Tribolium castaneum: one gene and its partners. The main gene of each other region encodes a partner of the protein of the gene in region 2 in a complex. Links are inferred from orthologs where the notes say so. Each region holds a gene or a part of one and is shown on either strand. Other genes may lie near its edges. The genes, in order: Cpsf4, Cpsf100 and Cpsf73.

Region 1 (7,536 bases), on a different chromosome or scaffold from region 2:
TGTTTTATAACGCCTTAAATAAAACTTTTAGAACAGTTAATCTACTCTGAGGACGAAAAAACGTTCAGGCAACGTCCATACCACGCTGAATACACCAGTTCTCGTCTGATCACTGAAGTTAAGCAGCGTCGGGCGCGGTTAGTACTTGGATGGGTGACCGCTTGGGAACACCGCGTGCCGTTGCCTCCTTTTTTGTTTTATAACGCCTTAAATAAAACTTTTAGAACAGTTAATCTACTCTGAGGACGAGAAAACGTTCAGGCAACGTCCATACCACGCTGAATACACCAGTTCTCGTCTGATCACTGAAGTTAAGCAGCGTCGGGCGCGGTTAGTACTTGGATGGGTGACCGCTTGGGAACACCGCGTGCCGTTGCCTCCTTTTTTGGTTTGTAACGCCTTAAATAAAACTTTTAGGACAGTTAATCTCCTGTGAGGCCGAGAAAATTTTCAGGCAACGTCCATACCACGCTGAATACACCAGTTCTCGTCTGATCACTGAAGTTAAGCAGCGTCGGGCGCGGTTAGTACTTGGATGGGTGACCGCTTGGGAACACCGCGTGCCGTTGCCTCCTTTTTTGTTTTATAACGCCTTAAATAAAACTTTTAGAACAGTTAATCTACTCTGAGGACGAGAAAACGTTCAGGCAACGTCCATACCACGCTGAATACACCAGTTCTCGTCTGATCACTGAAGTTAAGCAGCGTCGGGCGCGGTTAGTACTTGGATGGGTGACCGCTTGGGAACACCGCGTGCCGTTGCCTCCTTTTTTGGTTTGTAACGCCTTAAATAAAACTTTTAGGACAGTTAATCTCCTGTGAGGCCGAGAAAATTTTCAGGCAACGTCCATACCACGCTGAATACACCAGTTCTCGTCTGATCACTGAAGTTAAGCAGCGTCGGGCGCGGTTAGTACTTGGATGGGTGACCGCTTGGGAACACCGCGTGCCGTTGCCTCCTTTTTTGTTTTGTAACGTCTTAAATAAAACTTTTAGGACAGCTAATCTACTCTGAGGACGAGAAAACGTTCAGGCAACGTCCATACCACGCTGAATACACCAGTTCTCGTCTGATCACTGAAGTTAAGCAGCGTCGGGCGCGGTTAGTACTTGGATGGGTGACCGCTTGGGAACACCGCGTGCCGTTGCCTCCTTTTTTGTTTTGTAACGTCTTAAATAAAACTTTTAGGACAGCTAATCTACTCTGAGGACGAGAAAACGTTCAGGCAACGTCCATACCACGCTGAATACACCAGTTCTCGTCTGATCACTGAAGTTAAGCAGCGTCGGGCGCGGTTAGTACTTGGATGGGTGACCGCTTGGGAACACCGCGTGCCGTTGCCTCCTTTTTTGTTTTGTAACGTCTTAAATAAAACTTTTAGGACAGCTAATCTACTCTGAGGACGAGAAAACGTTCAGGCAACGTCCATACCACGCTGAATACACCAGTTCTCGTCTGATCACTGAAGTTAAGCAGCGTCGGGCGCGGTTAGTACTTGGATGGGTGACCGCTTGGGAACACCGCGTGCCGTTGCCTCCTTTTTTGTTTTATAACGCTTTAAATAAAACTTTAGGACAGTTAATCTACTCTGAGGACGAGAAAATGTTCAATGAGAGAAATTTCATTTCTCTCACCAAGTTTAATGGTATAATGTACCTAAAAAACTGCTCCTGTAAGATAATAGTATATTATATTATAAGAGATAGAAATGGATCATTATATGTAAGTGAGAATTTGACACACGAGTGCGCTTGTGCTCGAGTGGGAGTGTCCCACGAGCTTTAAAACGGTATTTCGATCACGTGTGATATACGACGTTTTATCTTACACGTGCATTAGAAAAAAATCCAAAAAATTCAAGTAAATATCCGCCTGTAACATTAGCATCAGTTTTCGTAGTGATGAAATGAACAGACTCATTGTTTTCTCCAATTTTCTCTAGATTTACTCACTTGTGAGAACAACTCTAACAGCTTTATCTCACCTCACAAACAATGGTATAATGTACCTAAAAAACTACGCCTGTAACCTAAGAAAAATAATTAGATTAATTTTTGGAAAAAGGCGAAATAAATCTACTCGTAAAAATTGTTGTTTATTTTCCTATAGAATAAATACAATAGTTTGAATAACTTTAAATATTATTTAAAAACGATCACCACTCTTATTGATCACCTTGTCCATCCTGATTGCTCTTGGCCTGTGACAAAAACGCCAAGTGCCCTTTAGGGCACCGATTTGCGTAGTGTCCCTTTGTACCACACTTGTAACAAGTAACATCTTCCAGCTTCTTAGGCAACATTTTCTGCAAATAAGAGTTCTGAGGCTCATAATGATCATTCTGTTTTCGATTCTCGTCATTTAAGGCGTCTCTGTTATCACTATTCATCTTATTACAATGTATCGCCTTGTGTCCATGTTCGTTACAAAAGTGACAAATAATAACAGGAGTGGCTTTCTTGTCCTTCTGCACCTGATCAGGGGGCGCAGGCAACTCAAACCTTGGGTGCATATACTTGCAGTTTGGCCCTTCGGGGCAAAAGCCTGCCAAGTAATTCGTACACAAAACCCTGCGCACGTGTCTGTGACGACAGTGGGGCCCATGTCGACAAAACCCACGGTCATACCAAGGACAATCCTTGATTTTACTCTCAGGGTCTATGTGTAAAAACGGACACTCTTTATTGTGACAAGCGTTAAATCTCGAATAGAAGTAACACTCGGGCATTTTTGTCATGTCATACTCGTGTAAAAACTCGCACTGGTCGCCTTTCTTGCAAAGACCTCTCAGCCAGTGTTTGCACACAATGGTTCGGTCGCCTCGCACGTGACGAAACGGACATTGGGGGCCCTTTTGACAGCCTTGTATTGAAGTGTAAAACTGACAAACGGCTGCAATTGATTCTGAAAGCAAAAAACGAGAAAATTATATTTTCGACATAACCTCACTTACTGTCCATTCCGGGAAATGGTAAGGGCAAAGCGCCGAATTGCTCATCTAGAGCCACTTCAATGTCGAATTTTATGTGGTCCACGTTGGCCACAATGCACTCCATTTCGATATTTGTAGTTTAATATTACAAAAAATGAAAACGCAACACCTTTTATTTTAACCACAACAAAATCAACTATTTGACATGTAGTCCTGCCACCATAGCCTGCCACCAGTTGGTCTAGATTGGCAGCTCTGGTTTAGTGTAAAAAATTTCAAATTCAAAAAAAAACTTAGCAAGTTTACCGTGTTCCAATCTCTGGAAAACGATACAATAATATAATAAGGAACGGCTTTAAATAAGGAAAGTAAAAAATTAGATGATCCGTTGATAGGCAGTCCGTATAGTGTGTTGCCTATCTAAAAATTACCAAAAAAAATTTATTTGCGAAACTCAAAATTAAGTGTAAATATACATTGCGAGTCAATTGTGGCTTATTTCTGAAGATTTTTTGATGCAACTAGTAATACTAGGATAATACTGGTTCCAGTTGACCACTAAATTGTCAAAAAAAAAAACAAATTTAATCCACAATTGCATTGTTCTGGGTAAAGGTTGTTCCATATCTGGTGGCGAACTGGCAGTGATATAAAAAAAAACTCTTGAAATGCACCCACTTCATTAAAAGAATGAAATAAAGGGGGTGCATTTTTTTCTCTAAAATTTACTTATTTACTTTAACATAAATTTTGAGGACGAAGATACATAGAAATATTACTATTATTATATTGTTCAATATTCTTATCTTTTTATTGTGACGCCTGTGGGCATTTTTTTTTTAATTAAACATATCTATCTTCAATGCTAAAATTCAGTCATTTTTGGCAATGTCAGTTCGCCACCAGGGGCCCGTTTCATAAAAACTACAAGTTGATTTTTACAAGTGACAAGTAAATCACTTGTAAAAAGTTTTATAAAATAGGCCGCAGATTTGGAATAAGCCTTATTGTCAAGTTTGTGTAACAGTTTTCCTAAAATTTCATTATGGACTAATTAGCGTTTCAAAATGCCAACGACGCCCTTTACCGAATTATTTTTCTAAATAACGTTTACAAAAATGTAAAATAGTTGAAATAATAAATTACATCAGCTAATAATTTTTTGAAGCGCATGAATAACATAACAAATAATTTTTAGACAAAATGCGACGTTAGCACTTCAATAGTCTTGAAACAGTTAGTATGATTTAAAAAATAAAAAACCACTAGGAGCCATTTGTTGTATACAAGGTCCGAAAATTGATTGTTTTGATAAAAATACATTGTTTAATGTATAGAGAATAACGACAATTATAAAAAAATAACAACTATTATTACTAAGATGAACAGGTGCATTTTAGGTTTTCAAATAAAAAATCGTTAAAACTAAAAGGCTTTAAAAAACGAATAACACATTCTTAAGCTCGTTATTCGAGAAAATAATTATGGTCAAAACCCACATCCCGCTATATCATTTGCTTTCGACAACAACAAAGTTAATCAAAAGTTGACATTTTAGCGAAATTTAATCTAAAAAAATATCTTCCTTATTACACAGAGTGATTCAAAAGTGATGAACAATCTCCCGGAAGCTGATAAAGGAAGCAAACTGAATTAAAAGTTCCTATGAGCCTTCTATCACGAGATATAACTCTTCAAGGTTACGTTTTTGGTGCTTCAGATCATATTTACAAATGTCTTATGATGTACAAAACAATTCAAAAACTTGCCAATTTGATATATTACATTCGACACCGTAGGAAACAAAAAAAACAATCGATACCTTTGCTGAGGAAAACAAATTCAAAAAATATACAAAAATTAAGTTCTTGAAAGAAAATCTGATTTCATTTTTTGTGCAGCCTGTATAAAAAACACATCTGAAACAAAGACACTGCAGAGGTACTTTTTCATAAAAAATTTAAAAATGTAATTTTTTTAATAATTTGTTTACCTGTAATTACATAATAGAAATTTTAGTTGGCTGACATTTATGATGTGCTTATTTTTTTCTAAATTTAAAAATATAAATAATAATATAATAATATAAATAAATAATATAAATAATATAAATAATATAAATAATAATGTAGATATAAATAATAAATTATAAATAAAAAAACAATTCGATGTTTTTATTATACGTATTTAAAAAGAAAAAACAAGGTTTAAGAGTAATTGGCCATGGAAAAACTATTTAACATAAAGGGTTTATATATTCTAATGAACGACTGGTTAAATAAAAAAACTAAACCATGAAAAAATTGTTACTCCTTACAAAATCCGAAAAATTTTGCATCTGACTAGTAATTTACTTATTTCCCACATTCTCAATTCAAGCAGCACTCCGTGCACTCGTGCTGTAAACAAATTGCTTACAAAGATTTAGGTACAAAAACAATTATTTCAAGTAAATAACTGTAATTGTCGCAGATTATTTTTTTTTAATTGATGTCGAGAAAACTGAAAAACAAGTAACACCACCGTTAGATAGCATTATCTTGAATGTCTTGATGGTTTAGTGAACTATAATGGAAATAACAAATATTTTTTAATTTTTTTCGATAAATAAAATTAAAGAGGCTATCATAGAATTATGTTTTTTCTGACACTTCCATGATTAACTAGAGAATAAATGGCAATGTAAGCTTCTCACTTTAGGTCCAAAAACAGAAGTCGATTTAATTAATTATTCTGCTATTGTATATCATGTTTCTTAACAATATACAGTCGAAAAAATAAGTATTAATTTTATTAAGATAGCTAAAAATAGTTTGCTTTGGCTCAAATGCCCGAACAGGTAAATAAAAAAAATACACAATTCTCGACTTGATTACACTTTTTGTATTTTGAGTATTGAGTTAATGAGCCCCATTTTTTAACCATTTCGATATATCTTACAACTGTTGAAATGACAATACCAAGAAAAGATGATATTGATTTTTTTAGATTTCATTAAAATGTCATCTTTTGTTTAAAAAAAATTATATAAAAAAATTGCAACACCTGTCCATGTCAATTAAATACGACTAAAAGAAAAACTACTTCAGGACAAAGGTCCAAGAAATAAGAAGCGACTTGTACTGAATTTATTGTTATAATCATATTGTTGAAAGTAGGAAGATGAGCCGCTATAAGCTCGTAATTTCAACTTAAACTTAATATATACAAAATAACAAACAAATTAATTACATTAAATCCAGCTACGAATTATAAGAACTAGAAGAAAAAGCACCTTCTTATTCTGCCACTTTAATACTGCACTTTTAAAGCACAGATGGCACAGTATAAAAATATCAGAACTGTAAAAAGTTTACATTGAATTAGCTAACTTGATCTGATATTTTACACTGTCGAATTATTCTAGTTTTACAAATAAAATTATCTTATTCTAATATACATATTATGTATCCATACATGTGAGGAAAATATTTCTTGTATTAAAAACTGTAAATTGGTGCATAATAATAAATAATCAAATTGGTTTGCTCGTAATAAATTATCGGCGCTGTTCTAGAAAATAATAAACCCTGTTTTCATGGGTCTTTTAAAATAATATTCTCTTCCAGTACTAAAATGAAAACAAACTCCATCACAGTATGTTTTAAAAATTTACTTTACTCGTCAATGTTGTTGTATCCCATGTAACACGATTGAAGAATCCATGGTGTTGTCTTTTGTGAGTGAGATATGAAGACTCCATTATAGAATCTGACATTTAAATACTTAACATATAACTGAAACCTACTTAGTTGCACTTGCAGGAACTCTGTCAGTGAATAAATTTACACTTGATCAAATCTACGATTCTAGCTGGACTTGATATTGGGGCAACCCTCATCAATAAAATAAAAATCCACTTCAACAAAATAGAAGTATGGTTAGGTACTTCTTCAACAAAATATCCACTAACAGTATTACAGTCACTGAATTTACATATAGTTCTCTGAGCATCATCATCTGAATTTCGGGTGCACTAGAATTATATGCATTTTATCGTTGTTGTGTTGTCGGCTGTGGCGATTGACGGGCTTGAGGAGTCCCGTTGTTGTTATTGCTAGCCGGGCTATTTCCGTTACCCGTCGACAATTTCGAAAATGCTAGCAGGGTGTCGGGGAAATTCGGAGGCGTCGCTGGCGTGTTGCACGGCGTCATCACCTAAAACAAAAATTACAAAATCAAGACATTCACAAATGGAAAACAAGAATAGTATAATAAAATAGTTATAAGTGGATATTGAAGTCTTTAAAACACGCGCGATTTTTCGAGCACGACGGCGTAGCCGGTTTTGAAAAAACCTACGGCATTCATTTTGCAATATGTAATCACAAGAATACAGAGAAACCGAATATAATTGTAATATCATCTAAGGAAATTGAATTAATAGAGAAAACAAATTTTCTGGGAATATGCATTGACCATAAGTTAAGCTGGACTTATCATATAGATAATTTATTAAAAAAAATAAACTCAGTACATTTTACAATACGCGTTTTAAAAAAATACATTAACATTGAACAACTAAGAATAATATACTTCGCAAATTTTCAATTATTATTAAGCT
Region 2 (7,393 bases):
TTTGTCAATGAGACCTGCTAACCGAGAGTGGTTTAAGGTTCACCCGCCAACAAAAGATATTTACCTTGCAAGGTATGATTGAAAAAAACATCTGGAAATACATAATCAGTATAATTAGATATCGTAAATCTAAACAGTTTTAAGAAAGATTTGATCCATTGTCGAATATACAACAATGTTACTCATAAGCTTTGCAAAAAATCAAATGCAAATAATTAAAAATCTAATAATTACCCTAATAATTACTAATTCATAGTTACTTATCAACTAAATCTTTGCCATTCTGAAGTATAAAATACTGTATTTTTCTCGTATTCACACGCTGACAATAAACTTTCTTATGGTGTCACACCGGCTGATTAAAATTCGCATTTTATGAAAGGTTCATGGGTTTGTGAACCTGCAACCCTCCTCATATTGCACCCTCACAGCCAGCAATCTCAGATGCAGGTGTACAACGTTTCGCAGTTTGTTCACGATTGAAGGCCTCCTTTATCTCTAGTTATTCAGGGCCCCTGTTGAATATCTGACATCAGGAATAATTTAAATAGCAAATCAATTGCATCGCATTTGGGCATGCCTTTACTAATTGCATATTAATATGCACTTTGGTACCACCTAATTATTCACTCGTTTGGATTTTGGAATTTGAATTATTATAGCAATGAAGATAAGTGAACCATAAAAGTATTGTTTTCATCGAAGAAAAAACGCTTTATGGTGTCATAAAGACAACAATCGCCATCGATCAACACAATCAATAATTTTGGCGCAAATTCAACCGTGTTTCATTTGGCGAGCTCTCAACCTTATCATGGTGATAATCCGAATATCTCGCTTATCACCTCTCCAACACGAAAGCAAGTCTTTTCAGGTAAAGTGTCGCATTTCGAGCCACTTTGCAAATATAAATGCTGACTGCTGTCAATGCTTTAAAGCGCACTTCAGCCCCCGACTTGGCACACCGGCACCCCTCCACTGGCCCCACCGCCCCCGACTTACTTTCGCATCAATGGACCGCCGTGTCCTTCAAAAGGCCAATTTCCACCCGCTTTTCACACGAGAAAACTCACAGCAAAACAGAACACAGCAACACCACACTTTCTGTATCATCTACTGTACACAAGTAAAAAGAGATAGCCGATGATGCTCAGCGAAAAGATAACTGAATGAATTGAGTAAGGGTGGGGAGCGCGGGCTCGCCATTGGCCCATACGCCGACTCTAGTGCTAATATTAGCCTGTTTGGGACCCTTTTCCATACAATTTTCAATCATTGTCTGCTTCCAAAGCAAAAAGTTCGACTGACAAACGGGTTATTGACGGCCGGGAGTCTTAAATCGGCCATAAATCACCAACTATTGCCTGCATTCACGATATAGAGACAGACAGGTAAACCAACTCGCTATTATAATTGATTCTAACGCTGGAGCAAGTTGATAGATGGCAGCACGGTAGACTGGGACTGTCACAATTTCACAAATTTTCTTTGTTTTTTATAAAAAAATGATGCGAAATTAAAAAATGTTATCTCAGCACCCAAGTTAGTCATCTTGTAACAACTTCTGCTTTTTTCGCGCTGAAATAATAATATTTTCTGAATAGTTCTAAACTTCGGTTCGATGCATTTTCGGCCGCGAAAGACATCGAAACATTGAAGTCAGAATAAATGCTTTCCAGAAAAAAAACTCCACTACCATTCGGTGCGGGCATCCTTCAGGTATTAATTGTTCTTCATAAATGTCGTATTTTTAACAACGTGATGCGTGTATCTTTTTTCTTGTAAACATTGTGACAGTCCCAGTCTACGCTGGTGCCATCTGTCAGATAAAATAAAAGCTCCAACTTGCTCCACATTTTGGTTTGCGCCCGACAATGGAAAATAAGGGAAGTTGGTTCACCAGGACTATCTATACATGGTGCCTGCATTAATCACTCTTACGTTTTGATTGAAACGTGATAGCGCTAGACAATCTCGCAAGAAAGACAAAGACGGATGCGCGGTTGCTAAGCAATTTATAGCGTAATTGTTGTCTAATATTCTTAACTCACTTGACGCCACCGCGTGGGGGAGGGGATGAATCAGAAGGAAAAAAAAACAAAACAAAAAGGTACGAAAATTTATGAAAAACACTACAGTACTGCGTACTGCTCATACAAAAGCTCTTTCACTTTGTAATAATCTTCCGAAATGCAACCTTCGAGGATCACTCTCCCTGTTTCTACCCTCCTGATGGCTAAAGTGCCGTTGCTGCACCACAAAACTCCGCCTGAAAATTCTGAATTGATGTTGCTTTTAGCCAGGATTTGTTTGAATTCGGAAAGTTTTAGTTCGTTGATGAATACTGTGTCGTGGGGGATGTTGTCGCCGTAGGGCTCCAGAGTCAATATTTTTGACTCTTCCTCATCGACTGCAAAAAGATAAAATAACCAGTTTTTTAAATGAGAAACTGTCGAAAGAAGTGACCAAACCCACAGCTCGTATATTACCTATAACAAAAATATAAAAAAGCCCAACGTCACATTTTACCGAAATATTTTTTAAATAAGAATGATAAAATTATAAAATAGTTATTAATGATTAGATCTCTCATTGAAAGTTTAAATTACACGAACTATTATTTTTTTGAATATTAATAATAATAACAGCTAATTTTGAGAGAAAATGCGACATTGGCGTTTTTATAGTTTTCAAAGAGCTAATCTTATTGAAAAACAATCCGTCTATAAATGAATATAGGATTGTAGTAGGTATTAAAAGTTTGCCGCTTCTTTCCACAAAAAACGAACAATGTTAGTATATGAAAAAAAATTGTTTCAATGGTTGTAGAGTAGATAAAAATTGGTACTTATCAGAAATTTAATAGAAATAAAGTAATTAAATGCGGCGAATTCCAATTCCAGAACCACCTGAGATCCTCTCTTTTATAAACAGACCCTATAATTTACGTCATTGCCACAAAATTTACCTTCCATTGGTTCGTTGTCGACATTCATCCTCCTCGCATCCAACTGACTTTCCCTGACCACAATCTGGGCGTTAAGCCACGCAACTTCGGCATCTTTAGCCTTCTGGAAATTCAGTTGAGACACCAGAGCATCAGTCAGACGCACTTGATAAATATGAGTCTCAGTTGTCGCATCCACGACTTCACCCCTGACTGGAGCAAACACTCTTGCATCGAGATTCTCCTGACAGTGATTTTTTATCGTGTTAGTACTCTCAGGCGAACCTCGGACGATTATAACTCTTCTGGGCCTCAACTGAGACAAAATTTTCATGAGGGATTCCCCGTCTGAGCGACCTTCGAAGTCAATATATTGCACTTGACAGTTAACCTGGACAGTCCTGCTAAGTACGATGCACTTGGACGGCGTCTCAGCCACCTCAGCTGTAAATATTGTCAATCAGTGACCTGTGATTTTAAAATTAGGTTGGCAACATTTATTATGTGAGGATAAGACTATGCCTAAAGCCGTTCTTCGGAAATAAGTAAATAAATAAATCGTGGGTTTATCGCAGAAAGTTACCAAGTCGGACATTTATTTTTAAGTTTTATTTAAACAAAACTATACCATTTTTTGGAAAGCAACAAAATATATAGTCTGCGAATTTCTATAATTCCACTAAAAAGTGTTATGTTTATTTATGTCTTACGACTCTTATATAATTTCTCACCAAAAGTTTAATTGCAGAAAAACAACATTGATTTTATAAAAACAATTATAAACTGAACTTATTTAAAGGCTTCCTTACTACTCACGCGTTTTTTATATTCACTTTTTTTCTCGAACGCCTTTTAAATGTGTTTTCTATTAAATTTTTATTTGATTTGTTTATTCATGTTATATAAATTTAGTATAAGTTTATTTTGTAACAGTGCTAAAAAAATTGGATTTCAAACAAGGCAAAAAAGCCAACAGCGCTTTTTATGGTCAAATTTGTCACAAATTTTAACTTTTTGTAAAAAAGTATGTGTGATAAGATTCCAATGACAAATTTATTGCCAAGAAAGCCTACAAATAAAGGGTAAAAATAATTATCCAAATTGGCAGTTTCTGCCACAAATTACGAACAGAAAATAATTAATGTTGCCAACTTAAATTCAAATCATAGGTCCTTAAATTCAAACTACAATTCTATGATACTAGAATGCGACACGACATATTAATTTATTAATAAAAAATCTCCATATTAAGATACCACATACGGGGTAATTCTTAAATTGACCGACAAAATTTTATCACAGCTATCCAAGTAAAAGTGGCGACGAAATTTTATCATAACTTTTCACCGAAAAGTAGAGACGACCTGTACATATTTAAGTTTTTATTTCGTAAGGCTCACTTACGGCGCTCATGGGTTTACTTGTATTGGAAAAAATGTGCTCGTTTTTATCATGAATATCGATAATACACAGTGATCATTGTTGCAGTGATCGAGTTACATTGTCATCAAATGAATATCATGCTCTCCAAGTTTCCATCAACTGTGCTAATACTACTTACGTATACATCAGTGACGTACTCTTTATCTCCAACATAATTTAAAAAAAATATTTCGAAAATGGTTAGGCAAAGACTTTTTTTATCAATTTGCCCTATACTCTATTGATACTCCCATAGTATTTTCTTATTTAAGTATAACGCAAAAAATACCAAAACATATATTTTTTTAAAAATTACCACAATTTTATTTTGAGAATACTGATAAAGATATAAAAAAGTGGAAAAAACAAAGTTGTAGAAAATTCAGTTTTCTATAAAGTAGTCCACGAGGCCACATCTCAATTTTCAACTGATTACATTTAATTTACTTTAAAGTGTTCCCCCAAAATCCACCTACCAGTAAAATAAGCTGCTTTAAACGTCATTGTTTCTTTATTTATTCTTTCAACTTTTTTTTTCTTACATTTTTCTTGTATATATAACCCTGTATTCGCAGCGTTTTGAGAAATATAGAACAGAACGCAAATTTTTTTTCGCCGCTCATTAAGAACATGATGCATTTTTTCTAATCAATCAGCGAACTAATTAAATTAATTTGAAACAGAGAATTTGAATTTTGCTCCACCTCACTAAAGGTTTGGTTAGTTGTTTGCCTTCTGATATTTAGTTGCCCGTAAATGATACTCACGAATGACCTCTTCTTCTTTTTTGATCACAACATTTTCCTTATTATCTTCAGTTTCTGTGACGACATCAGCTAGCTTGTAGTCTTCCGGTTTGATTATTTCGCCGTATTCGTCACATTTGATTTTTTCTTCGTGAAAAGGGTAGATGGGATATTGTTTTTTCGTAACTTTGAAAAAGCCACCTGAGGTCTTGCCTTCTTGTTTTATGACAATATCGTGCCGCCCTTTTGATATGACACTCATTTCAATATCATCGTCTGAATCCGACTCCTCGCTAAAAGGGGGATTAAGTGACAGTGTAACCCACCTAACTCAAACTTACTCCCTGCTGGAATTTTCCTCTCGTTTTTCTCTTTGGCTCTTTTGGTACTCTTCAAGTTCGCTACCTTCTAACTTGACTCGTCTTTTCACAACCAAATCGATTTGGCGATTGCCCCCATTATCGACTAAATCTCGAGCTAATGTCCCCGGAGACGTCCTTAAATCATACTTTAAGCGACAAAAAAAAATTAAATAAATTACAAACCTAGTCGTGATAATTATACTATTATTAGGATTTGAGCACCACTGAAGAAACAACTCGCGAGAGAACCCACTCTCCATATCAGGCGAACTCGCGAGAACAACTTTAGGACTTGAAACCTTCTGTAGTTCGTGTAAACTGTGACACAGTTGCAGATGTTTGAACTGGAAAGGATTATTTCTCGCGCCTTCAAAACTCCTCATCAGTTTATCACTCATCCACTCAATTTGAGACTTTGCAAACTCTACAACGTTGTAACTGACATTGCTTAGCAGAGCTAGAGAATAGACTAGAAGGCCTGATTCCTTGTTTCTCCAAAGCTGGTCCAACATATGGGCCAGTTCTAAAACACGGCCTGCTGTGTCCACAGCGACCAGAACGTTGCCGTTGTTCCTCAAAGTTTGCAAAATGTTGGCTAAAAAAATTATTAACAACTTTCCAACTCAACGCTCATTATTACTCATTAGTTTTTCGTCCCGAGCCCTTCTCCTGGCTTGTTGGTACGTAGCATTAAACGCATCAGTGATGAACAGAGAGGGCCTTTGTAACTTTTCTAACTCACAACCGTTCAAATGCCTCTCTTTTTTGTGGTTGAAATCATTAGCGTAAATAATGTCTTCTTCACCAACCTTCATTATTTTCCAAATTGTGCCCCCAATCATGTGCCCAGCAGGCAAGGGCGTGATTGTCAATCCATACCCCTTGCCTTTTCCCCAATTAACTTTTACGAAATAACAATTTTTGGAAGTTACCTACCTTTTAATGGAACACTCTGATTATACTTCAGCTGAATAACTTTCTCAAAAGTGGCGTCCACATCATCCAATGTGAATAAATCAAAGTCTTCCATATTATAATGAGACTGAAACAAGTCATACATAAACATTTGCCCCATCTTATAGACCGGTATTGTGGCATAAATAGGGCAATTCAAGCCCAACTTTCCGACTAAATATGGAAGAGCCCCCAAATGCGCCACATCAGGGTACGAAATCAAGACGGCGTCAATCGTGTGAACATGCCTTAAATAAAGTCAGTCAAATCAAGTTCCCGTTTTTAGGTTAAGTTCACCTTCTCATTTCTTTGATAATTTCCATATCGAAATGTTCGTCCCATCCACAGTCCAGTAAAATACGCACTTCGTCGACTTGCAGGATGTAGCAAGGGGGCGACTCGTCCATTGCCCCCGACAGGGCCTGCAGTTTGATTATTGAAGTCATTTTATGTGGTGTGCCCCAACTTATTAAACGGTGAGCATATTGGGTGTTTTGTGACCAGAAGTTAATTTAATACACAAATGTGCAAAATTAACTCATATTTTGGACAGTTTTGGTGGTGCAACAGGGACATTTGCTTTCTCATTTCTGACAGACGACAGAAAATTTCAACAGGATTGCCAATACAACAAAACAGTTTGTGACAGTTTAGGGGTGGTTTTCAGATTATTTTTGTTATTAATTTTTTCTGCAAAACGTTATGAAATCAGAGGATTTTTGGCTGTAGTGTAGTGATAACGTGCGTGAAAAATTGTTACTGATGAAAAAATTGACTCAAATGTAGTGAAGTGACTTCATAACCTTACATTTGCTCTTCCAATATTATTGTTATTTGAGTTATTACTAAAAGTATATTATGATGGAAAGTTCGTGTTCGGAACTCCAAAAGGTCCTAGTTGACGTGTTGAGTGACCTGAAGTACATGTCGACTCAAGTTATAAAAAAGTCGGATAAATTATT
Region 3 (8,770 bases), about 2.4 Mb from region 2:
GTTCCCCATCTGTGGCCTCTTCCACAAAACTGCTTATTTATCTACATTTGTGTTAAATATTACGTGAGCATAAACCACCTCAAATTTTTGGGGATATTCTACTTTGTGGACGCATTAACATCAATTGGAACTGCCTTAAGTCTGGTGATATCTATCACTATATTTATACAAAGAAGTCGTGATTTGAAGAAATTGTTACTTCAACTAAAAGAAATTAAAATTGATTCAGTCCATCGGAAAACACGCAGTAAAGCAAATCACTATTTACGAATTATTTTAATTATTACCATTTTCTATTACTTTCTGTTTATTCCGTTTGAGTCCGAACCCTTATTTTACACTCTATTTTTTATTTATCCCGGAATAATACTCTTGTTTGATCATATATTTCTGAGCGATATTTTAGAAATAATTTGTAACGAATTCGAGCAAATTAACCGGGAAATAAAATACCAAACGACGTCACATCGTATTATCTTCAAAACCAAAAAAATAAATGACGAGGAAATAAACGACAAAATGGTTCGAGCTGAACAACTGTCTTTGTGTCACTGCGACCTAACGGCCCTCACATTGAACATTTGTCACCACTTTGAGACGACAATAATCGTGGCAATGATCACTAGCTTCAATTACGTTACTTCCACTGTCTATTTTTTAATCTACTTTCTGGCACGTTCTTACGAAGCCAATTTGTTTGTTTTGTTCGGTAATAACTTTGCTTTTCTTTCGTTCTACGTGTTTTGGCTTCTTCTAATTCTGGAGATGTTCACGAGGACCGAAAAAGAGGTGATTCCTGAGCATCTGACAATTAAACCGAAACGATTTTTTAGGCCAATATAACCGGACGTTACATACACGATATTTGGAATAAGTTTGAAGCGAATGGAAATATGACTAAAAAGCTGCGACATCTTCAGCTAGTTTCGATTCGTTTTCTGAACAATAAACTGGAATTTAGGGCAAGAAATTTTTTTCGACTGGATTGGAGTTTTTGCCACACTGTAAGATTTGTGGAAATTTTTTTCAGTGCTATCGCTTGTTCGTTTCAGATGATAGCTGCCATAACCACTTACGTTATTATATTAGTTCAGTTTCATATCTAATCTTTCTATAGTACAACGGTTTTAATAAAACATTAAATTAACAATAAACTTTACAAAAAATTCAAAATTTACGTCTATTAATGTAACAGTCTGACATTTCTGACAACTACTGTCATGGGTCTCCAAAAATTAAACTTTACAAAAAATTCAAAATTTACGTCTATTAATGTAACAGTCTGACATTTCTGACAACTACTGTCATGGGTCTCCAAAAATTAAACAAGTATTTTTTATCTAGTCTTTTGTGACTTTTGTATATTTGGTTGCGTACATTAGGCGGAGGCCTTGTACAGTTATAGATATTAAACGTTGTGTATATTTTTTAATGAGAACACGAAAGTATTTCGACTGTTTACCCAATTTATTAAAAAAAGTTATTTTAATTCGAAGACATACACACAAAAAATGTTGTAGATATTGCACTGTACTGTAAAAATAAATAAAAATATGTAAGAACAGTGTAGTTATTACATAATTTGCTCAAAAATTTACAAAAATATCTAAATACAAGCGAGAATTAGTCGCTCGTGCCCTCGTGCTATGTAAAGAAAGTAAAGGAGATATTTCATAACTTTCCACCCACATAAGAAAACAAACAAACATGCGATTAATTCAAATGCAAACGACAAAAGGTGAAAGGTCAATTTTTTAATCAATTTATAAATAAATTATCAATCGTCTCAAGTGTTGTAAATACCGATAAACCACATCGCAACAGAGTTAATCAACTCTTCCAAAAGTGAGGTTAGAAACTGTTTTTTCCCTCAATTTTGCAAAATTATTTATTTCCAGATGGGCCGCCTCGTCGAATTCCTCGAAACCCACCGAGGCCTCGTCGTCCTCTTCTTCTGCCTCCCCGCCAGCTACATTTTCAACCTCTTCCTAACAATCCGCAAAACCCTCCACCGGTTTTTCTTCAGCAGCCCCACAAACCACGATTCGCGCGTCCGCGCGATCCAGAAACAAATCCAACAATGGAACAAAATCCCCAAAGACGAACGAAAACTTCTATGTACAGCGCGCCCCAACTGGCTAAGCCTCTCCACCACCTTCTACCGCAAAGACCTGTGCCACAAAATCAACGTCGATCTGTTCGACATTCTGCAATTGGATGAACACAATCTGACCGTGCGGGTCGAACCCATGGTCACTGTGGGCGAAATCACGCAATTTTTAATTCCGCGGGGGTTCACCCTAGCTGTGACACTTGAAATTGCCGACGCCACGCTCGGGGGGCTCGCGCTGGGCACCGGCATGACGACGCACTCACACAAAGTGGGGCTGTACCACGAAACGGTGGTTTCGTACGAGGTGGTTTTGCACGATGGGAGTCTTGTCAGGGCTGCGAAGAACGAAAACGCTGATCTTTATAAAACCCTGCCGTGGTCACACGGCAGTCTGGGGTTTCTTGTAGCCTTAACCTTGAGACTTGTGAAAGTCAAGCCCTTTATCAAAATGAATTATATTCCGGTCGAAGGGAAGAAAAACTACTGTGATATGATCAGGTTATTGTCAGGCGATAGTGGCGATTATCCCACTGAAGATTACGTGGAAGCGACTATTTATAGCCCTGAAAGGGCCGTAATAATGACAGGGTCTTACTCCGACTATGACCCAAACCTGCCGATAAACCACGTAAATCGCTGGTACAAACCGTGGTTTTACAAATACGTGGAAACATTCCTCAAAAAAGGCAAACACACAGAGTTGATCCCTTTACGGGAGTATTTACTGCGCCACAACCGGGCCATTTTCTGGGTCGTTGAATCAATGATCCCCTTCGGCAACAACCCCCTTTTCCGCCTATTCTTCGGCTGGTTGTTGCCCCCAAAGCCAGCATTCCTCAAATTCACGACAACCCCCGGCGTACGAGTTTACACTTTCACAAGACAAGTGTTCCAAGACATTGTCCTACCAATTCGCAAACTTGAGGATCAAATCGATAAATCGGACGAACTTTTCGACGCCTATCCACTTCTGGTCTACCCATGTCGGGTTTATGACAGAGGACCGGCTTCCGGTCAGTTGAAAGCGCCCCGGAAGGAGTATATCGTTGAGGGGACCGATTATGCAATGTACAACGATTTGGGGATTTATGGGGTGCCTGGGTATGTGAAACGCAAGGAGCGGTATAATCCTGTTTATGCGATGAGGGAGATGGAGAAGTTTACGCGTGATATTGGGGGTTTTTCGTTCTTGTATGCCGATATTTTCATGACTAGGGAAGAGTTTGAGGAAATGTTTGACTTGACGTTGTATGAGAAAGTGCGGAGGAAGTATGGGGCCGAGGGGTCGTTCCCACATCTTTACGATAAGGTCAAGCCGGAAATCGATGTGTTCGAAGTGGGGCAACGATTCGAAATCAAGTGAAAATGGCATACAAGTATTTTTCTACGATTAAAAATGTATTATTGGTTGCGTATTCATAACTATTTGTTAATCCAGTTTTTATTTTTTTATGCATATTTTACTGAAATAATATATTCTATTACGTAATAAATTATTTTTTCCATATTCCAAGCGTACTGGATAAGTTATAACCGCACCGAACCGATTTTATTAATTTTATTACACTCACACGATGTCTTGATAAGTTTCAAGTCCGTAAAAATAAACTACATTTTTTTGTACGTTTATGCATTCGTTTTTTATAACAATTTGATAAAAAACGCAGACAGAATTTACGAATTATTCATAATACGATTATTAGCTCAGTGATCATTGCATTAATTATAGTCTACTCAAGTTATGGTTCTCATTGCCAACTTGGTAATAAAATTTTCTATACTCACAGCTACAAAAACTCACCTTCAAATTCGAGATGTGCTTGAACACGAACGGGTTGTTTATTGCGATTTGTCGCTTAATTTTGTCGTTCATGGCGTTGATGTAAGTCTGGTACACAGCCATACATTTCTTAGCCAATGAGGAAGCATAATAGATGGGAATATCGTGTAAATCTGGATGTTGGCTCCAATACTCATCCAAAATTAGAAGCAACTCCTGTGCCCGTCCTAATGCAAAAACGGGGATCAAACAGCGACCGCCTCTGTTAACAATATCGTGAACTAGATTCGTAAAACGACTTTCACGTTCTTCGCGTTTTTCGTGAATGTGGGTACCGTAGGTAGATTCCTGTAATATTTTTTTGAATAAATGTTAGTCAAAATTTAAGTCGTACTGTAATTAGAACATCAGGGTGAACTGTTGGAATCTCCGCAGCCATTAAATGACGGTCTTCCTGACGCGAAAAATCGCCAGTGTATAAAATCTAAAACGAAATTTTCAATAAAGTTGTTTGAAATTTAAGTGTCGTACTTTAACGCCAGCTATCTCAATCATAAACATAGCGGCGCCCAAGACATGTCCCGCATTGTAAGCCCAGAATTTGATCCCCAAAACGTCTTTCTCTTCGTGGAAATTTATTGTCTCGATTTTGTCCATACTAGCCTCCAAGTCCGCCTCAGTGTAGAGCATCTGTTCGGTTGCAATGTTGCTGCAAATTCGAACACATTTCCGATCAAAGTAGGTCAAGGGCCAGTTTAAAAACATAAATCTTATTTTTTTTTAATAATAATTACGGAGAACTACCAGAAATTTTTTTCGCCCTTATTAAGTCACAATTTACCTGACTTTCACATAATCTGACAATAACCACCGATAAATCGCCTTGGTGGCGTGGGTCATAAAGCAGCGACCCTTGAAACTCGTTTTTTGCAAAAACCAGGGCAAAGCCCCACAATGGTCCAGGTGAAAACTGGAATTTCACGTTACAGTTATTAATGTACGAAAAAAAAATGTTTCGTACTGTGATATTAGCAACAAATCGATTTCGTCGGCTTCAATTAAATCAACGAAAGGCAACGCATCCATGCCTGAGAGCCCAGGATGGATTCCACAATCAAGCTACAAGTTTAAAGTCTTATAAACGAATAAAAATCGATCAAACTGACCATAATTTTTTTCCCTTTAAATTCAAGCATTATGCAAGACCGTCCCACTTCCTGACCGGCACCCCTACAAGACAGTGTTAACACAAAATTGTAATTTTTGGAATAATTACAGTGGCCTAATGGTCAAAAGGTCGCTTTCTTCGGCTGGGACTTGGGAATCGGGTTTGCGTTTATTGGACATGATTTCCAAAGCCAAAAACTTTATTTTTTATGCAGCTTTCATGATACACATAACCTAAAAAAATCACTTTCGAAATCGGGGGAATTTTAGGTTTTGAGGTTGGTACAAAATTTAAATTCAAATCAACACGTTTTTCCACCTTGCTGTCTCCCTTAGACCTTATCATACACACCTAAAATGTGCCTGAATTCTGGGTGTTTTGGGGGTTTCACACAAAAAGTCACTTTTTTAATAATCATCTATTTCTACAAACAAAATCGCCTAATACATTTTGGTCTTGCATTATACAGAAATAAAAAATTGGAAACAGTTTTGCTTCATTATAACAATCTCAACATAATAATAATCAGCTCATCCTATTATTAGAACAAATCTCCGCCTATAGTACAAGTGCAATATGTTTATAGCACTGACTTCTAATGGTACAGTATTGAGAAATTTCCATTATTATCGTTATTGTTGCTTTGAAAGTCACGTTAAAAACGTGCTTGAAAGACATTTCTTCTATATAATTATAACAACGCGCTAAACGTCTCTCAAGCAATTCTTTTTCAACCAAATAAAATATAAATAAACAAAAAATCTTGTAATAATACGTGTGCATTGTCAGCTTAGTGTTTGGCTACGAAGAACCCTATTTCACAATGGCAACATAAAGTAATTCGCTACGTTTTTATGAGGACTTATTTTGATTCAAATGATAACGTAAAATAAATAATCAGTCAATCTCGATGATGAAATGAAACCTAAAATAAATGTGCGCTCGGTAATAGTAACAAAATTAACGCATCACAATAATAAAACACAAAACCCATGATATGTTAATTCTGCAACTATTAACAAAATACTGAAAGCTGCACGACAGTACGCATTGTTACGTATAAAACGCTTTGATACTTGAAAATCCTACAATTAAATGGCATTTACACAACCAAAAATCGCAGCTGAATAAAACAGCTTCCTTAATCCGTGAAGGAAAGAAAGGAAAAAAAATAGACGGCGCCACTTTAATCAAGGAAGCTGCAGAATAAAATAACTTTTGTTCGTTTTGGCCTTTGGACGCGAGTCCGGACACATCACAATTTCAATAAATGCATGGACATTAGACAACCTAATAAATTGTGCGGTGGCACTTTGTAAATAAATAAAGTATAAAGTTTATAACCGATAGTACGTACGTTATGAATATTATATTTTTCGAGACATTCATAGTTATAGACCTAAGCAAGATATTACACGGACCCTATACATATGCAATATAAATGCGTTCGCGTACATTACGATGCTATCTGTCTTCAAGCTCTCACGTCTGCAAAGCCGTGGTGATTTCGTCGTGGATCGTTGCTAGTTCTTGTACTCGCGACGCCAGCTGCGAATTCAGCGTGAGGAGGATTTGGCGCTGAGATTCGTGGGCGCTGAGAGCGATGTCCAGCTCGGATTGGGCCAATTTTGCCGTCGCCTGGAGCTCCTGGTTTTCCTTCTGCAACGCCTGCGGGAAAATCACAGTTTTTCAAAGAATTTTTTTTTCACAAAGTAACAGATCATTTTTTTGTGTACGGGAAAATTGAAAAGCAAATTTGAGAAATACTACAAATACTTCTAGTTGCCCAAAAGAAAAAAATATGTGACAAACGAAAGTTTCTAACTCGCTTCATTTCGATGCTTTAAAGTTACCCCAAATTTTTAAGATATGAGCGTAGAATGCAAGAAAAACTAAATTTTTATTTTTTCCAAATTTTTGACTTTACCTGAATATCCGACGGTTTCTGGAAAGCCAACTGCTTGAATTCGCTATTTTTGGCGTCCAGCTCGGCCTCCATCTGTTCGAGGCGAATTCGCAGACTTTGAATTTCTTGGCGCAGTTCATCGGCAATGTCGCCGCCACCTGATCAATAAACAAAACTCTCAATTGTTCTAGTTGTGGGAGAAAACGAAACCGCGTGTCAAATAAACTAGATGCAATAATTATTATCATTTGATTGCTTTCCCATTTACCATATTGCAGAAATGCAATTTGCCATATGTTGCCGACTTTAAGCACCGATTCTTATGCAATTATTACACCGATTTGAATAAACAATTGACAGCCAACTCACCTTTACTATTTTCCAAATCTGCTTGATACTTCGCTTTCATTCGCATATTTTCTTCCTTAAGACTTGCCAATTGTCGTTTCCACTCATCGACGTTTGCCGTGCTTTCTTGAAGTGCACTTGTTAGTCTTGCATTGTTGCTCTTTAACGTGGCCAACTCGATTTCCCATTTTTTAGCATTGGCCGAACTGAAACCATCAATCAGACAAAACGTTTTACTAAATATTAGCACTACTAATCCAATTTCATAACTCTTCCCATATTTAGTTTGCTAAATGGGGCGGAAATAATAACAATCACGTAATATTTATTAGAACATTATTAGTGAAACTGGAAACAATTAAGCAACAACTTCACATCCTTATCCCCAGGCGAAAAACTCGAGATTTTATCGCTTCTTTGCCAACCGGAAGGAAAATGCAATTTTCATCGAATTTAGGAAATGCACTGCGAAAATTAATGTTCCCCTTAATATCGAATTAATAAACAATTACGTAACGGCGCTTGGTGAAGCAGAACGCATATTTTTTCCGTCCGTAACTGGGCTCCTGTCAATGTTCTCGTTTAATAAAAACCTATTATTTTTATTATATAAATTAATGTACCATTTCATGAATTTGCAAAGTACGGCTTTCTTTAGCATAAAAATTCAATAAAAAACGCAAATGTATGGATATTAATGCACAAAGACCCTAATTGCATTCTTTATTGTTATTTAATACCGAAATTGCAAATATTCGGCGTAATGAAAAAATCGTAGCAAAGAACGGTTCAACAGAAGTATTGTTTTTTGTTTTCATAATTGCAATTAAAGCGAGTATGTGTATATTAGCTCTGAATTTAATTATTCACGCACAATTTCTTTACAAAACCCAATTACATTCATTAGTTTATTCACGTTTTATTTACACTTTCGTGAACGTTGTGCAAATTGTTGCAAGATCAAAGATAGGTTCCCGATAATCTGCATCTTGCCAAACACGAAAAACGTTATTTTAAGCAAAAAATTGAAAAACCCGGCACATGTTTGCCGAATTTTTAGTAATTTTTCCATCAATCACAACTTCAGAATGTTTTATAGAATAGTTACTCCATATTAAGATCAATGTAAGTTTTTAGTCACTTTACTTTTTCGTTGGTTTAAAAATTCAAAAATGGCACAGGCCTCTGACGGACTGTGTAATTTATGTGTGCTTATCGATCAAAAAAGCGTAACAGTTTCACTTTTTCTGACGATATGCGAACCTATAATTTATTGCGTCTCGAATGCAACAAGGCAAATCAGCAACGTTTTTTCGCAACGGACGAAAAACCGAACCGATGCAACAACGTCAGAGAAAGTGAGGAAGACTGAAGGGAGGCTCTGGTGTGGAGGCAGCTATAAAAACCAAACGCAACCACACATCGACATCAGTTCATCAACAAACATCACCAAAA

Evidence for each region.
Region 1: Cpsf100 (region 2) and Cpsf4 share a complex: the UniProt entries of both Drosophila melanogaster proteins name them as parts of the cleavage and polyadenylation specificity factor (CPSF) complex. The link is inferred for Tribolium castaneum from reciprocal best matches to the Drosophila melanogaster genes Cpsf100 and Clp.
Region 3: Cpsf100 (region 2) and Cpsf73 share a complex: the UniProt entries of both Drosophila melanogaster proteins name them as parts of the cleavage and polyadenylation specificity factor (CPSF) complex. The link is inferred for Tribolium castaneum from reciprocal best matches to the Drosophila melanogaster genes Cpsf100 and Cpsf73.

Annotation. Positions count from the first base shown.
Region 1 is NC_087394.1:10,088,289-10,095,824, forward strand, and holds Cpsf4 (cleavage and polyadenylation specific factor 4, 30kDa), read right to left. Parts: upstream 3,116-7,536; 5' UTR 3,058-3,115; coding exon 2,955-3,057; intron 2,906-2,954; coding exon 2,166-2,905; 3' UTR 2,084-2,165; downstream 1-2,083. Other genes in the region: UBA-like domain-containing protein 2-A, read right to left, coding at 6,966-7,130. UniProt on the Drosophila melanogaster protein: Component of the cleavage and polyadenylation specificity factor (CPSF) complex that plays a key role in pre-mRNA 3'-end formation, recognizing the AAUAAA signal sequence and interacting with poly(A) polymerase and other factors to bring about cleavage and poly(A) addition.
Region 2 is NC_087396.1:18,209,693-18,217,085, reverse strand, and holds Cpsf100 (probable cleavage and polyadenylation specificity factor subunit 2), read right to left. Parts: upstream 7,017-7,393; 5' UTR 6,878-7,016; coding exon 6,729-6,877; intron 6,680-6,728; coding exon 6,414-6,679; intron 6,364-6,413; coding exon 6,118-6,363; intron 6,073-6,117; coding exon 5,661-6,072; intron 5,613-5,660; coding exon 5,457-5,612; intron 5,409-5,456; coding exon 5,137-5,408; intron 3,392-5,136; coding exon 2,969-3,391; intron 2,411-2,968; coding exon 2,133-2,410; 3' UTR 2,107-2,132; downstream 1-2,106. Other genes in the region: transcriptional regulator ATRX homolog, read left to right, coding at 7,290-7,393. UniProt on the Drosophila melanogaster protein: Component of the cleavage and polyadenylation specificity factor (CPSF) complex that plays a key role in pre-mRNA 3'-end formation, recognizing the AAUAAA signal sequence and interacting with poly(A) polymerase and other factors to bring about cleavage and poly(A) addition.
Region 3 is NC_087396.1:20,616,566-20,625,335, reverse strand, and holds the start of Cpsf73 (cleavage and polyadenylation specificity factor 73), read right to left. Parts: upstream 5,327-8,770; 5' UTR 5,241-5,326; coding exon 5,170-5,240; intron 5,124-5,169; coding exon 5,060-5,123; intron 5,013-5,059; coding exon 4,915-5,012; intron 4,864-4,914; coding exon 4,735-4,863; intron 4,603-4,734; coding exon 4,425-4,602; intron 4,378-4,424; coding exon 4,288-4,377; intron 4,242-4,287; coding exon 3,915-4,241; intron 3,621-3,914; exon of another isoform or gene 3,477-3,620; coding exon of another isoform or gene 1,899-3,476; intron 1,846-1,898; exon of another isoform or gene 1,662-1,845; intron 1,192-1,661; exon of another isoform or gene 1,053-1,191; intron 1,005-1,052; exon of another isoform or gene 834-1,004; intron 790-833; exon of another isoform or gene 525-789; intron 1-524. Other genes in the region: delta(24)-sterol reductase, read left to right, coding at 1,899-3,476; homer protein homolog 2, read right to left, coding at 6,544-6,729, 6,989-7,125, 7,337-7,521. UniProt on the Drosophila melanogaster protein: Component of the cleavage and polyadenylation specificity factor (CPSF) complex that plays a key role in pre-mRNA 3'-end formation, recognizing the AAUAAA signal sequence and interacting with poly(A) polymerase and other factors to bring about cleavage and poly(A) addition.